Arabidopsis thaliana: one gene and its partner. The protein of the gene in region 1 interacts with the protein of each later gene in a biochemical or structural test. Each region holds a gene or a part of one and is shown on either strand. Other genes may lie near its edges.

Region 1 (6,795 bases):
AATGTCTGGCACTCTAAGGAACCCGTTTTTTCCTTCCTATTTTGTGCCCAAAGTCTTGTCACCGATATTAACAAGGCTGAAATGTTTTCATCATCAGGTGGAAACGAAGCGCAGAAAAAGGTAATCGCGAGTTCTTGGGGATAAAAGCCACAAGAGATGATAAGTTATATAACTTGGGAAGCTCTTTGGTGCAGATTTTAGTAAGTTAGGGTTTATCTTTGTCGGTCTTTGTCGTCTATGGTTGTGATGTCTGTATGGTGCGTTCCAAAACTTAGAGAAATGTGAAAAAGAGGAGAGATCAGAGAGATGATGAAGAAAACTATGTTGGCAGAATCAGTTGTATAGACTTCCGTGGGGTTTAAGTTAACTTTAGGTTTGTTTATTGTTATGGTCTGTTGTTATTTTGTGGCTGATGAGAACAGATGAACATGAACAACGCTTTTGACTTGGGTCATCTCAACAAAAATTAACATCAGATCTATCTTTCTTCTTAATCATGCTTCACTTTTCTTAAAGAATCAAACTGGCTTCTACGAAATTATTCAACAACAAAGAAGAGCTCTTAAATAGGCAAAATTTCAAATGTTATTTTGATGCAGCAACAAGTCTCATACTTGATTATTCAACAGGTGAAGAGAAAATGGTACAAGAAAGATGATTGAAACATGGTTATGTACTCTAATTTTACTCTTACAAAAATACACAAACATATATTTTCTTACACTTTTGGTATGAACCAAGATGCTTCTTTACTTCTCTGTAGTCCTTTGGATCAGATTCTCTTATGCATTGAGCAAAACTCTCTCTTCCTTTTGAGTTTTCAAGCTGCATTTTAGCTTCGAATGACAGAAAAGACCCGATTTTGGAGTAGTTTTGGATCATTACTCAGAATGAGATATCGACGTGCTCGTGTTCAGGTGTCCTGTATGAAAATCCAGTGTCATCACTTGATCTTCGTTTGACAACACTTGCCCTTTGAACTAATCTTACTAGCTGTTGCACCACCTCTGACATTGGAGGCCTGAACTCTGGTTCCGGCTAAATTAACAAAGAAAGATAGAGAGATATGGTTACTTTACAAAACAATTTCGGTTTTGTTCAATTAGGACATTCTCCAGAGTTTGGATGGTATTTTACCTGAATACAGAGAGCAATGATGTCCGCAAAACGAGACAGTGACTTAGCTGGATACATGCCATTAAGAGAAGGATCAACCATTTTAGACAAAGCATCTATATCGTGAAGCTGCGGTGTTGCCCATCTCACTAGTGATTGCTCTGCTCTCGTCCTCGAGCTACACATACACAAAGCACATTTTACATAAGGAAACTCAAATCAGGCTTTTGCTCACATTGGCTATTGCTCAACATTGGCTACTAAAAATATGAAAAGAAACCTGTCAAGAGGCTTCCGACCAGTTAAGAGCTCAAGCATGACTACTCCAAAAGTGTATACATCACTTTTCACTGTGTAAATTCCCGACAGTGCAAACTCTGGAGCGCTGTATCCAAATGAACCTACCACTTGAGTTGAAACCTGTTGACATGCATAAACCATGAAAGACTCAGAAAATGTTTCAATTAGATTAAATCTGATTCTTTCCATTGTTATTACCTGTCTCTCAGTGTTAGGTGTCAAAGCAGCTAAACCACTGTCTGATAGGTGAGGATTAAGTTCTTCGTCTAGCAATATATTCGCTGATTTGAAGTTTCTATGGACAATTGAAGGCAAGCAAACTTCGTGCAAGTACCTAGAAAAACAAAATCAGAAAACTTTGGTTTAAGATGAATGTTGTTCATTAAAGAGGCTAGAAATAATCATAACAATTTGCACATACTCTAAAGCCTTGGCAGTTCCAAGAGCCACTTTAACACGCGCATTCCAAGTCAGATTCATGCTTCTATCATCATTCGTGTGAAGCGTATCATCTAGATTCCCATTTCCTACATATTCATACACTAGAAGACGTTGACCATGCTCGGTGCAGTATCCAGCCAAGGGAACAATGTTTGGATGCCTCAACCGCGACATATTTGAAACGGCTTCTAAGAAATTATCTTCTTCTTGTAATGAAAGTGCTGCATTATCAATCTTCTTAATCGCCATTATCTAGAATTATGTTACACAGAAAAATTTAGTTCAAAGAAAGAATATTAGCTTTGCTTAGTGTAGAAAGCTGTCAACTTTTGAGTTACCTTTCCATTGGGGAACTCTGCTCTATAGACACGGCCTAGAGAACCTTCACCAATGATGTTTTCTTGACTAAAGCTGTTTGTTGCAACTTGCAGAGAGGAAACAGTGTATTGTGAAGCAGTGATAGGAGATCTTATTCTACTTATAGAGCCGTTCTTCATAACGCGATCAACCGTTACTTTTTCTGCAGGTGAAGACTTCAAGTCTGCAACGGATGCTACACTTTTTACCCTCTGCTCCTGCACCTCAGGTGTTCCACTAAGCGGAAGACTTCTTTGGGAAGCTCTTGTACTTCCTCTAACTTTCCGTTTTTTCTTGTGAAGGCACAAGTAAAGAACAAGTGCTATAATACCAGCAACAAATAGAGAACCGAACACTATACCAGTGACTACTCCACCAGACAAACCCTTGCCAGAGTCTGAAGATTTCTCTTCAGAACCAATTTTGGGTTTCTTAGAACCAGAAGGTGTCTCTTTTTTGCCAGGTCTTTCTGGCTGAGGAGAGGCAGGGACGTTATCAAAGGAATTACCATCATATCTGTTTCATTTAGGAATGTCAAAGACATAAACTTACAGTTTAAATTGAAATTAACAGATTGTTATTGAAAACTTACATTAAGGTCTGAATAGAACTAAGCTCCTTAGGTATGGATCCATTGAAATGATTGTTTGCAACATTTCTGCCAAGAAAACATAGACGGTAAGTGTGATGGAGGAATATATACATTCGTTTCTTTTTCTACTTGCAATGAAACTTACAAAGTTTTCAAAGGCAACCCCGAGAGAACATCGATGGAACCTGTCAATTGATTGTTCTGAACATAACTGTCACAAATGAAGATAATCAGATATTATCATGGAATTTCCTTTCGCACTTCTTAAGTATTGTTCCACTAAAGATTGTTTGAAAGCACTTACAGAACGGAAAGTGTGGACACTGTGCTTAAGGAACTAGGAAGATCGCCACTGAAGTTGTTATGAGAAAGGTCCCTGAATAAAGAAACAATAGATCAATGGAAACTGGAAGTGATATGACTATGCTAAAGTGATAGGTAAGCGATCTTACAAGGTTGCCAGTGACTTATGATCAGCAAAGATATCTCCTATTGACATTGTAAGTGAATTACCACTTACATTCCTACACAATAACATTTCAAACTATAATACATAAGAAAACTAAACATGCTAATCTCACAGTGTATGGTTCTAGAAAGGCAAACTCACATATACGAAAGAGAACCCATGGCGGATATGGAGTATGGAAGGTTACCACTTAGGTTGTTTCTCGCAAGATTTCTGCATTACATTTTCTTTAAACTGTTAGTTTCAAATTGAAAACTGAGAGTAAATACTATAACAACAAAGCTAAGCAAACACAGCATTACAGGCTTGTGAGATTCGGTGGCAACTGATATGGAAGTGTATCATGGATGCTGTTACCACTAACATCCCTGTAACCAAAACGAAAGAGACCAAAGTTATTGAACCAAAATCCAAAGAGCAGAAAGATCAAACAAACAAAAACAGAAGGAAAATTCCAAAAACAATACAATTTTCTGAGTGACTTAAGGTCTGAGAGCAAGTATCCAAGAGTGCCAGAGACTCCTAAATCCGATATATCTCTGTTACAATCATAACAACAGAAAACAACAACATTATAAGACAATCACAAATCAATGCAAGTGGAAAGAACAAAAATAATACTCAAAATCTGATTCTTTACATAGTGACAACTGCAGAGCCCTCACAAGTAATCCCTTTCCATGACTCTCCACATGGATCACCACCACCATTTTTCCAATTGGTTAGCTGTGAAGGACTATTTAGTGAAGTATACAAAACTTGAAGGGCTTGAACTGCAATAATACCAGAAAGAAGAAAACAGCTCACAAGTCAGAAAAACACATCAAAGGATCTATCAAGAAAGAAGAAAAATCTTTCATAAAGTTTACAACTTTCCTTTTTGAGCTAAAAAAGTAAGTAAAGCAGAAATATTATTTTCCGGCGGGTTCTCAGGAAAACAGACGGTGTCAAAAATCATCAAATCTACATTAATGCAAAAGGGTTTCATCTTCTAAATCTAAAGTAATCAACTTTTAAAAACCCTTCACTCTCAAATCACATAGATGATCAATCAAAACAATGAGGTTAAAAGCAGAGAAGAAGAAAACTCATAAAGCTGAATACTTTACCATCAGATGGATCAGTAACACAACGAACAACAGAGAATCCAGAGATCGAAGCAATGAATAGAAGCAAAACAGTAAACATAGCTCTATCTCCAATAGCCATTAGCGTGTCGGTGTTGGTGATCACGAGCTTGGACTTCCATTGCAGAGAAACATAGCCATGAAAGGTCCAAAAGAGAGAATAGACAGTGACAGAGAAGAAGAAGAAGAGTAACAGTGTGTGTTGGGGATAGTAGTAGTTAGAGACATCGCCATTAAAGAAAAGGATAGGTAGTGAGAGAGTGAGAGATTGAGAGATTGATTCCAAGCTTGCTCTGAGTTATGAAGAGAGAGAAACTATTTTTTAGTATATAATATTTTAATTCAGGTTTATTTTATGATTATTATACTAAAAACCTCTGTTTCTCCGTAGATTCATTCACATTAATTGGTAAAACGTATTTAAGACTTCATTTAACTCATAAGACAAGATTGTTAATAGTAGTTAATATCACTGATTCAATCATTTATATAAGTCTTTTTATACTTTATCTTGTGTGATTGATATGAGATTGTTGAATTTCTTGACCATATTTGATAATTGAATCTGACTTACTGACTTGTGTGTTTGTGTTGGTGTCGGTGGGAGTTTGGAATTTGCTTTCATTTTATTTTTTCAACATATTTTAATGTTTTGGAGAACAATTTTCTATGTATATTTAGAGTGATTTTAATATGAGAGTAAAAAAATAGTAAATTTTGGGAGGCAACATTTGACTCGCGTTCTTTTTGGGCTATTTGGCTTTCGCTATCAGTTTTGTTTTGCTTTTTCCAAAGCCTTTTCTTCTTTTGTTAATCCTCTACTTGTGTTCTTAAATTCCTTATAGTACACCTTCTCTGCCACGTCTTCGAGTTAAATTCTACCCATTTGGTTATCAATTATTTGTACTTGCTACTGTAAAAGCTCTTTCTATATATCATCATCTTTACGAATTCTGAATCTATCATTTATTGACCAGCCAACTCTAAAACATTTTGTAGGACATACTTACATTGAAGACACTATGCATGAGTTTTTTTCATAATAGTAAAAGTATTTTGTAAATTATAGTTGAATATTGAGTGAGTATATAAGAACCAAATTGGCTTATTGTTGGTGAGAAAGTAAGTTGGCTGACTTTTTTCTGAAAAATGATTTGACGATTAGAAACACTCGGCTTAATTAGTTGGCTAGTAAATTCAACTACACAAAACAAATTGAGGTTTTATAAAACAGAGTTACAATTTAGAACACACAAAAGAATACGTGAAGGTTGTATTTTGCAAAAAAAAATGTAAATTTTGAGAGAATTCTAAAAAATGATATAGCAGCAAAAAGGAAAACGACAGGATATAGATGGACAAAAGAAATGTGGGATAGTTTCGTGAAAACGACTAATAATAGACTACATAGAGTAAAAGATAGTATTGTCCACTCATGAAATCCACGAGCATAATGTTACCTTTTGGCCTGTTCTCATGTTATATACTTTATTTTTTTGTACTCTTATGAAAACTATTATTCCTCTCATGTTAATCAATGAGTAAAATACACATTTAAAAGAGACTCTACTTAAAGCTCAAAGTGAAATCATGTGTGGATCCAATCTGGCTAATAGCTTATACGCCCGCTTGTTCTTGACAGAGAATAGAACATCAATGATATATTAAATCAACTTTTTTCCCCCATTTTATTCATCTTTTCATTATATCTTTGATACAAAAAAAGTTTAGAACGAGATTTTTCTTGGTTTTTCATTCTATATGTTTTTATACAAAGTTTAGAACGATATTTGAATTTGAATGGTAGAATCATATAATTTGTCTCTTACGTCTTACCAATAAATGAATTCGCCGGACACTGGAAACCATAAATTCGTGTAGTTTTATGTTACTTTGTCACATTCATGTAGTTTCATTCGTTTACATTTTATATATCGTATAATTTCTTATCTTTTGTATTGTATAGGTGAACTAAAAAAAAACACATGAACTCAATGTGGGGTAAATGAGGGTTATTAGGAAGAATCAGTATTGCTTTTTTAATGTATTGAAAGAGAGACTTTATTCCATGGAATGAAATCCCGTGACCTTGTATTGGATTATTTTAAATAACGTATATCTATTTTATAATTGAGCATTATATAGAAAAAAAACTTCAGTGTGTTGGTTACTGTTGTAAGTTTTAACTATTTATGTATATATATTTTCATGAAATCTTAACTTCTTTGGAACAAGACTTGTTATAAATCACATGGAAAACTTAAATTTTGATGAGTAGTTGAGCTAATCAAGTCAGACAGTTATACGTAGCAAAAAAGATTAAATTAACGTTACAAGTTTTCAATTATGTAAATCCTAACGATTTTTTGTAGGTTGATGCATCAAAATCACTG
Region 2 (6,702 bases), on another chromosome or scaffold:
CAAAGGAGAGGAGATTATCAGCATGAGGATGAGGAAGAGAGCGGTGCTGATTTTTCGGTGGCTGTTGGATCGACGGCGGTGGCTTCGAAGGTTATATTTCCGGCGGAGGATTTTCACCGGAGATGAATGTATTACCTAGGGTTTGTCTTTAATTTAAATATATCTCCGTTTTTATAATAATGTTGAGAAAGAGAATAAGTATATCCAGCAGACGTATACTATACATGTAGAGTTGTCGTGAAATATTTGAATGAGATATATGCATGTAGTTATTGGTTAATTATCATACTAGTTGGAATTAACTGAATTTACATACGAATCCAAATTAATAAATAAGTAAAGGATTTGATGATCCAACACCAGCCATTATCCTCTATTTTGATTTCTTGGACAAGAAGAATCAATCAAGCAAATCTTTTCTAAACCCTAGAAATCGGTTCCATCTCAATTTCTATATACAATTTTAATTTATTTTCGCTGAACAAAACAGGAAGAAAAAACGATTGAATTTTCCAAAATTATCTCACCATTGTTGGACTTGTATTCCTTTTGAAGAATAAAAATTAACCGACACTGTTCTTTTAAGTAAAGTTTATAAGAAAAATTAACTATATTATTAACTGTTATGATCGTTTAAGCTCAACACAACTAAAGACAAAAAAACAAAAACAAACATCAAATTACAAACAAAAAGGTTATGTTCTTTCCAAAGAGTAGTGATCAGTGAACAAGACCAAACAAAAACCCTCGTCTCTCTACCTCTCATGTTCTTCACATCCTGCAATTACAACCACACAAATAAGTCTCAGATCAATAAACTTATTCAATCTCAAATCTTTAACAATCAAATTCTATTCTGAACTGAATCAATTGATCATAAAAGATCGAGTTCAAAAATACCTGAATCTCGGGGAGATTCGAGTGTTGTTACGTGTAAACGAGAGGGAGGAGGAAGAGAGGAAGCAGCAGGAGAAGGCGAGCCGAGATTGCTCGAGGGATTGCTGTTTTGTAGCCAACCTTCTTGAACTTGAGAAGCAAACTGAAGATTCCACAGGACATCTTCAATGGAAGGACGTTCTAAAGGGTCTTTAAGGAGACACCTTACACATATCTCCATCATTGTCTTCAGTGATTGGTCTGAACAAGCTCTATGGACCGTTGGATCCACCATGCTCCTACGTGCTCCATCATCCGCTGAAATGCTTGCTTGTAACTACAACAAATAAAAAAGAGTTTTTAAAGTAGATGATAGCGATTCCACATCAAGCTACATATATATCGAATGGTGTTACCTGCTCTTTTAGAACATCGACTTGACTCTTTGCTCTCAATGGTCTTCCCACTATAAGTTCAAGCAATATCACTCCAAAATCATAGATATCGATTTTATCTTCGTCTTTGATGCTGTTAAGAAACAGAGGATTAAACCATATAAACCGGTTTACAAGCTGATGAGAAACAGAGGATTAAACCATATAAACCGTTTTTGATTCTTTTGAGAAACAGAGGATTAAACCATATAACCGGGTTTACAAGCTGATGAGAAACAGAGTAAAGAAGATTATTACACACCTTGGAGTGCCTTTAGGTCCGCTCCGAGATCCTACTTGCCCCACCTTAGAAAGGAAAGCAAAAGAGATTCAAAATTCAAGAAACAAAAACATTCGAACTTTTGACATCGTCATTTACCTTTCCAAGACCTTCCACAAGCAATGGAAGATTATAGCTACTGAGTTTCGCCGCAAGGTTATTGTCAAGCAAAATGTCTGTCATTTTAAGGTTGTTATCATAAACACCAGGCACAATACCGGTATGCAAGAACTGGATCCCTTTTGCTACACCTATCGCTACGCTTATGCGTTGTTCCCAAGTAAGCAATCTTCCCATGTGCCCATCTAGCACAGCAGAGACAAGAACAATCCGATTTAGTTATTAAAAAATATATAATGATCATCTTCATTCTTAAAACACATGATGTTTCAGTGTGGTACCAGAAATCCAGGTCCTGAGTTCTCCATTTGGGACATACTCAAAGACAAAGAACATTCTGCTGACTGTTGAATCATCCAAGTAGCACTCGAAGCAGTGCCCGAGCACACTAACCAAGTGACGGTGCCGCAGTTTAGCGATGAGCTCAATGTGATGCATCAAGTTTTGTGTGCTGCAACTTTTCTTCATTTTCAGACACCTAATTGCCACAAAGGATCCATCTTTCAATCTCCCTCTATAAATCTGAAAAGAACAATGAAAACAAAAATCTTGTTTGATTCAACTGTTCAAAAAATGGAAACTAGCTAAAGAAAGATTGAAGCTTCACTGCTGTACCTGTCCTTGAGAACCTTCACCCATGAAAGCAGAGGATTCAAAGTTATTTGTTGCATACTCGAGCTCCTCCAGTGAGAATGTCCTGTAAGCTGGAAGACCGAGCCCTCCTAGCTTCATTGTTTGAGAGATATACCCTTCAAAGTATTGCAGTTACAGCACAAGTTATCAATGAAGACAAGTTCTATGTAATCTATGTGACAATATGTGAGAGATATTTTATCCTCTTACTTGCATCTGATAGTAGTTTCGATGTGTACCCCATTGAAGCATTCTCTCTAATCAATCTTGGGGAAGATTTCGTCACTGTTTTCTTAGCATTTAATCTCCTAAGAACCACAAATAAGGCACCGGCGAGGAGAAGTACCCCGAGAATGCTTGCGGTTACACCTAAAGCAATACCCACTTTGGAAACTTTGTTCCTCCTCTGTGGTAGGATTCCAACAGCAAGAGCTTCATTACTACAAAAAGAAACTGGACGTTGATCTTCATTCGTAGTAGCCAAACAGTTGCTTGCATAGACAACATCTCTGCTAGTGCCGGAACTCGGTTTAAGGCAAGTAGGCAAACTTCCGGTAAGAAGATTTGATGACATATCTACAAACATCAGCTGTGAGTTGCAAGAAAGATTTGCTGAAAGCCGCCCGGTGAGTTTGTTGTGTGAAATGTTCAAGTAAGTTATCGCGGGAAGAGACATCAAGGAAGTAGGAAATGGACCAACGAATGTATTGTAGGAAAGATCCAAATGTTGAAGCTGATACAGAGAACTTACTTCTTCAGCTGAAACTGCAGATCTAAACTTGTTCTTGCTGAGTATAAGAGTAACCAGCTTGTTACTTAACCGAGGAAACAACGGTCCAAAAGAGTTTCCTTCAAGATCAAGCACTTGAAGGTTTGTCAAATGGCTTAAATCAGGCAAAGCTCCATTAAACCGGTTATTAGCTAAAGCAAGAACTCTAAGACCTGACAAGCTACTCAAAGAAGAAGGCAATGACCCATTAAGCACGTTCTTTCTCAAGCTCAACACAGCTAAACTCGGCAAAGAATCAATCCAATCCGGTAACTCACCAGAAAACATATTCTCGTCGAGTATAAGCGTCTGAAGAGTAGCAAGCGACGAGAGTTCATGAGGGATTGGTCCAAAGAGGAAATTGGAACTCACATTGAGAATCTCCAAAGAGGATAAACGGTTGATTTTCTGAGGTAACCAACCCCATAACCCAAGGGACACAAACGTGAGAACTTTAACATCAGGGAGCTTAACAAGAGTAGTAACAAACGAGTTTATTGAGAAACTCTTTGGTAACATATGAGTTCCATTGTCTCCTATAATGTGAAGCTGCGTTACACTATCTTCATAACACACAACGGTTAGCGAAGGGCTTGGCTCAGAATTGCAGAAATCTGTATAGTTGTTCCAGCTGTTTAACACTTTGGGATAGTAGAGAAGCTGTTGCAGCCTCAAGAGGGTTTGAGATTGAGATGATTGTAGCTGTGTAGAGCCATCAATGGAAGCTAAAAGCAGAACCAGAAGCAGTAACGGCATGCCACAATAGAGTTTCTCCATAGCCACACAAGACCATAAAACACACACAACTACTAAATAAAATCATATAAGCATCATCATCAAAACCTGCAAAGAGAGAGACACATTTCATTCAAGAATCACATTTATATATAATGTACTTACAAAACAGGGTCCACTCTCAAGATCTTGATATTTTAACCACTTTCTCGTTAATGCATTAAACAGAAGAGAATCTTAGAAATCAATCTTCAAACTAAAAAAATATGATTTTTGCATGTGAATTCCAGAAAAACAGGAAGAACTCACCACATGTGTTACAGAATCTCCTCTTTAAGACACCTTGCAAGAAGAAAAGATGCAGGAAACTTTTGAGCACAAGAGATTAAATTTTATTTTTCCTGGAAACAAAATTTGGTTTCATCAGAGTAAGAAGAATGAGAAAATGAAAAGACAAATCGTTTCCTTTGAGATGAAGAAATACCTCTGCAAACTTATGAAGTAACTGTGAATGGAATATCGATTTTATCTAAAGAAACAAAAAAAGTAGCAACTTGATTTAAAGAAGAAAGTGAGAAAAGTTCCCAAGAAAATCCTCTGTAAGAGATGAAAGTTCCTCAAGGAGCTTTAAAAACATTCAAGATTCCTTCACGAGTGATTATTATATCTTATAAGAATAAAACAGAGGATACTCTGGGAACAATATTAACCCAACAAACTTTTTTTATTTTTTAAATAGACAATAAACAAAAACAAATTCTGTAAAATCAATGCAAAAACATTTTAGCAACCATACGATTTAGTAAATTGTCAGTGGCTAACGACAGAGAGTTTGGTCCTCCTCTCTAAGTCTCCATCACGAGATGAAGACAACGATAAATTCTTTTTACAAAAATAATTTTAAAACAAACAAACAAAATAGAAATAGAATTTTTTTGTCCAAAAAATAATCTTGTAAGTGTTCACATGCATTTTTAACAAATTAAAAAAGAAAAAAAAAAAAGCGAATCCAACAGGGTCTGGCCGACGTTTTTTTCTGATCTTTTTATTTTTGGTTGTCTCACTATTTATACAGTACACAAAGTAAATTATTTTATCAGCATTAAATATGTTCATATTATATTATCACTTTCAAAAAAATAGGGACCAAAGAGAAATCCACTCCAGCCAAAGCTGTGGCCAAGAAAAAGTAAAAAGACAAAAAAAAAAAGAAAGATAAAAAGGTAATGATAAGAGAAATATTCTTTTAGGGTTTAGGCCTTTAGGGGGATGATCTACAAATACGAGTCTGAGGCAAACAAGTCTTTATATAGTATAGATTTAATTTTGATATTTTTTTAAAGTTTCTTATATGAATATTAATTTGATTGAGAAAAGTCTGTCTATCAATTAATTGGGTATGCTAAGTTAAACAAGATTAATCAAGAATGAGTAAACAAAACCAAGTAAATTAGTGTAACTCTAATTTTGTTTTGAATTTTGATCATGTAAGAAAGCTGAAAACAAACTAAACATAAAAACCACAACAACTACACCGGAATTTTATCAAAAACTAGGCTTAAAACCAAACTGAAAGAAAAAAAAAAGATCCATCCAAAAACTTAAATCTGAAAGAGGTAATATATATATTTAAGGTGAAAATAAAAAGAAAGCGAAGTTGTGACACATACTGTAATGTAAGCTTTCGCACGAAGGCATCTCCATCAGAAAGGTCACACCAGACTTTTAAAGTGACACATGTAGGTCCCAATCTTCTCCGACCTTTTCAAAGTTCAAGAAAACAATCTTAATACAACAAATTAGCTCACATATAATATGATCAATAAAGAATAACATGCAAGGAATTGGAAATCAAATTAACAAACAATTTAAACTAAACTCGTGTATTTAATCATATTAAATTGAAACTAAGGCATGATGTCTTAATCTCTTGACTACTCTCACGTGCCATGAGTGATTCATCTTTTTATTAATCTTGTAGTTTTTTTTAATATGATTCATAGTTGCAGGTATAAGAAAACAAGTAAAGTAAATGCTTACAAACATAAGAAAACAAAATTCTGTGAAATTTTAGTCCACCTGGTTTTATATAAGCATCTTCTTCTGTTAGATTTTTCTGTGCATCGTTTAGGAATAAATATTTAATTTTAATTTATCTTATTTTTTTCCTTCATTTTGCGTGTTTCATTTTTTGGTTAGTTTTGTTTTGTATCTGTTGGTTGCATGTCTCAATAGTCAATGTCGTCGTATACAATCATAGTTTAAATAAAACTAAAAATTGTTGGTGCAGCTTATAATCGACTAGCCAACTTTAAACAATACGAAATAGAACGTGGTAATTTCCAATTTCGATTTCTTTTTCCTTAACAAAAAAAGATTGATCTTTAATTTGGTAGACGAAAAGAAAATTAATAACGGCTAGAAATACATTTATACGACTATTTTAACTGGTAGTGAAAATTGATCGACTGGCAACTATAAAATTAATATATTATGAAAATTTATTGGCTAAGTGAAGTAATTTGAGATTATTTCATAGAAATACATTTATACGACTATTTTATGTTTTTTTCTTGATTACTATCATGCATTCATATGTTACATTATTCTGTTTTTATCACATAAATATATATACACTACATTAAAGTGATTTGTAGAAAGCGAAAGCAAATACTTAATTAAGACGTACGTTAGAGCCTAGAGGAGTGTGTGTGTGTGTGTCATTTTCGTCTTGCGGTGTAATAAATTAGGTTAGATGGTTTGTTCAACATTAAGATTTATTGTGGTTTTTGTTAGGTATGTCGTAATTGTGAAGTGATCATTTGCTAATTTATCAACCGCATCCTCAAACTAAT

What was found. Proteins that work in one complex are often made in the same cells at the same time.
Region 2: the proteins of SRF8 (region 1) and AT3G03770 form a complex in vitro, tested with the Arabidopsis thaliana proteins (one large-scale study listed by BioGRID).

What each region holds. Positions count from the first base shown.
Region 1 is NC_003075.7:11,721,422-11,728,216, reverse strand, and holds SRF8 (STRUBBELIG-receptor family 8), read right to left. Parts: upstream 4,830-6,795; 5' UTR 4,485-4,829; coding exon 4,385-4,484; intron 4,049-4,384; coding exon 3,916-4,048; intron 3,815-3,915; coding exon 3,743-3,814; intron 3,644-3,742; coding exon 3,578-3,643; intron 3,512-3,577; exon of another isoform or gene 3,489-3,511; coding exon 3,417-3,488; intron 3,331-3,416; coding exon 3,259-3,330; intron 3,183-3,258; coding exon 3,111-3,182; intron 3,018-3,110; coding exon 2,952-3,017; intron 2,873-2,951; coding exon 2,807-2,872; intron 2,731-2,806; coding exon 2,196-2,730; intron 2,110-2,195; coding exon 1,838-2,109; intron 1,751-1,837; coding exon 1,615-1,750; intron 1,537-1,614; coding exon 1,397-1,536; intron 1,295-1,396; coding exon 1,138-1,294; intron 1,039-1,137; coding exon 886-1,038; 3' UTR 524-885; downstream 1-523.
Region 2 is NC_003074.8:944,548-951,249, forward strand, and holds AT3G03770 (Leucine-rich repeat protein kinase family protein), read right to left. Parts: upstream 4,692-6,702; 5' UTR 4,332-4,691; exon of another isoform or gene 4,249-4,331; 5' UTR 4,157-4,248; intron 3,956-4,156; 5' UTR 3,890-3,955; coding exon 2,554-3,889; intron 2,460-2,553; coding exon 2,326-2,459; intron 2,233-2,325; coding exon 1,992-2,232; intron 1,896-1,991; coding exon 1,690-1,895; intron 1,617-1,689; coding exon 1,573-1,616; intron 1,405-1,572; coding exon 1,293-1,404; intron 1,214-1,292; coding exon 901-1,213; intron 779-900; coding exon 756-778; 3' UTR 530-755; downstream 1-529. Other genes in the region: LBD20 (LOB domain-containing protein 20), read left to right, coding at 1-126.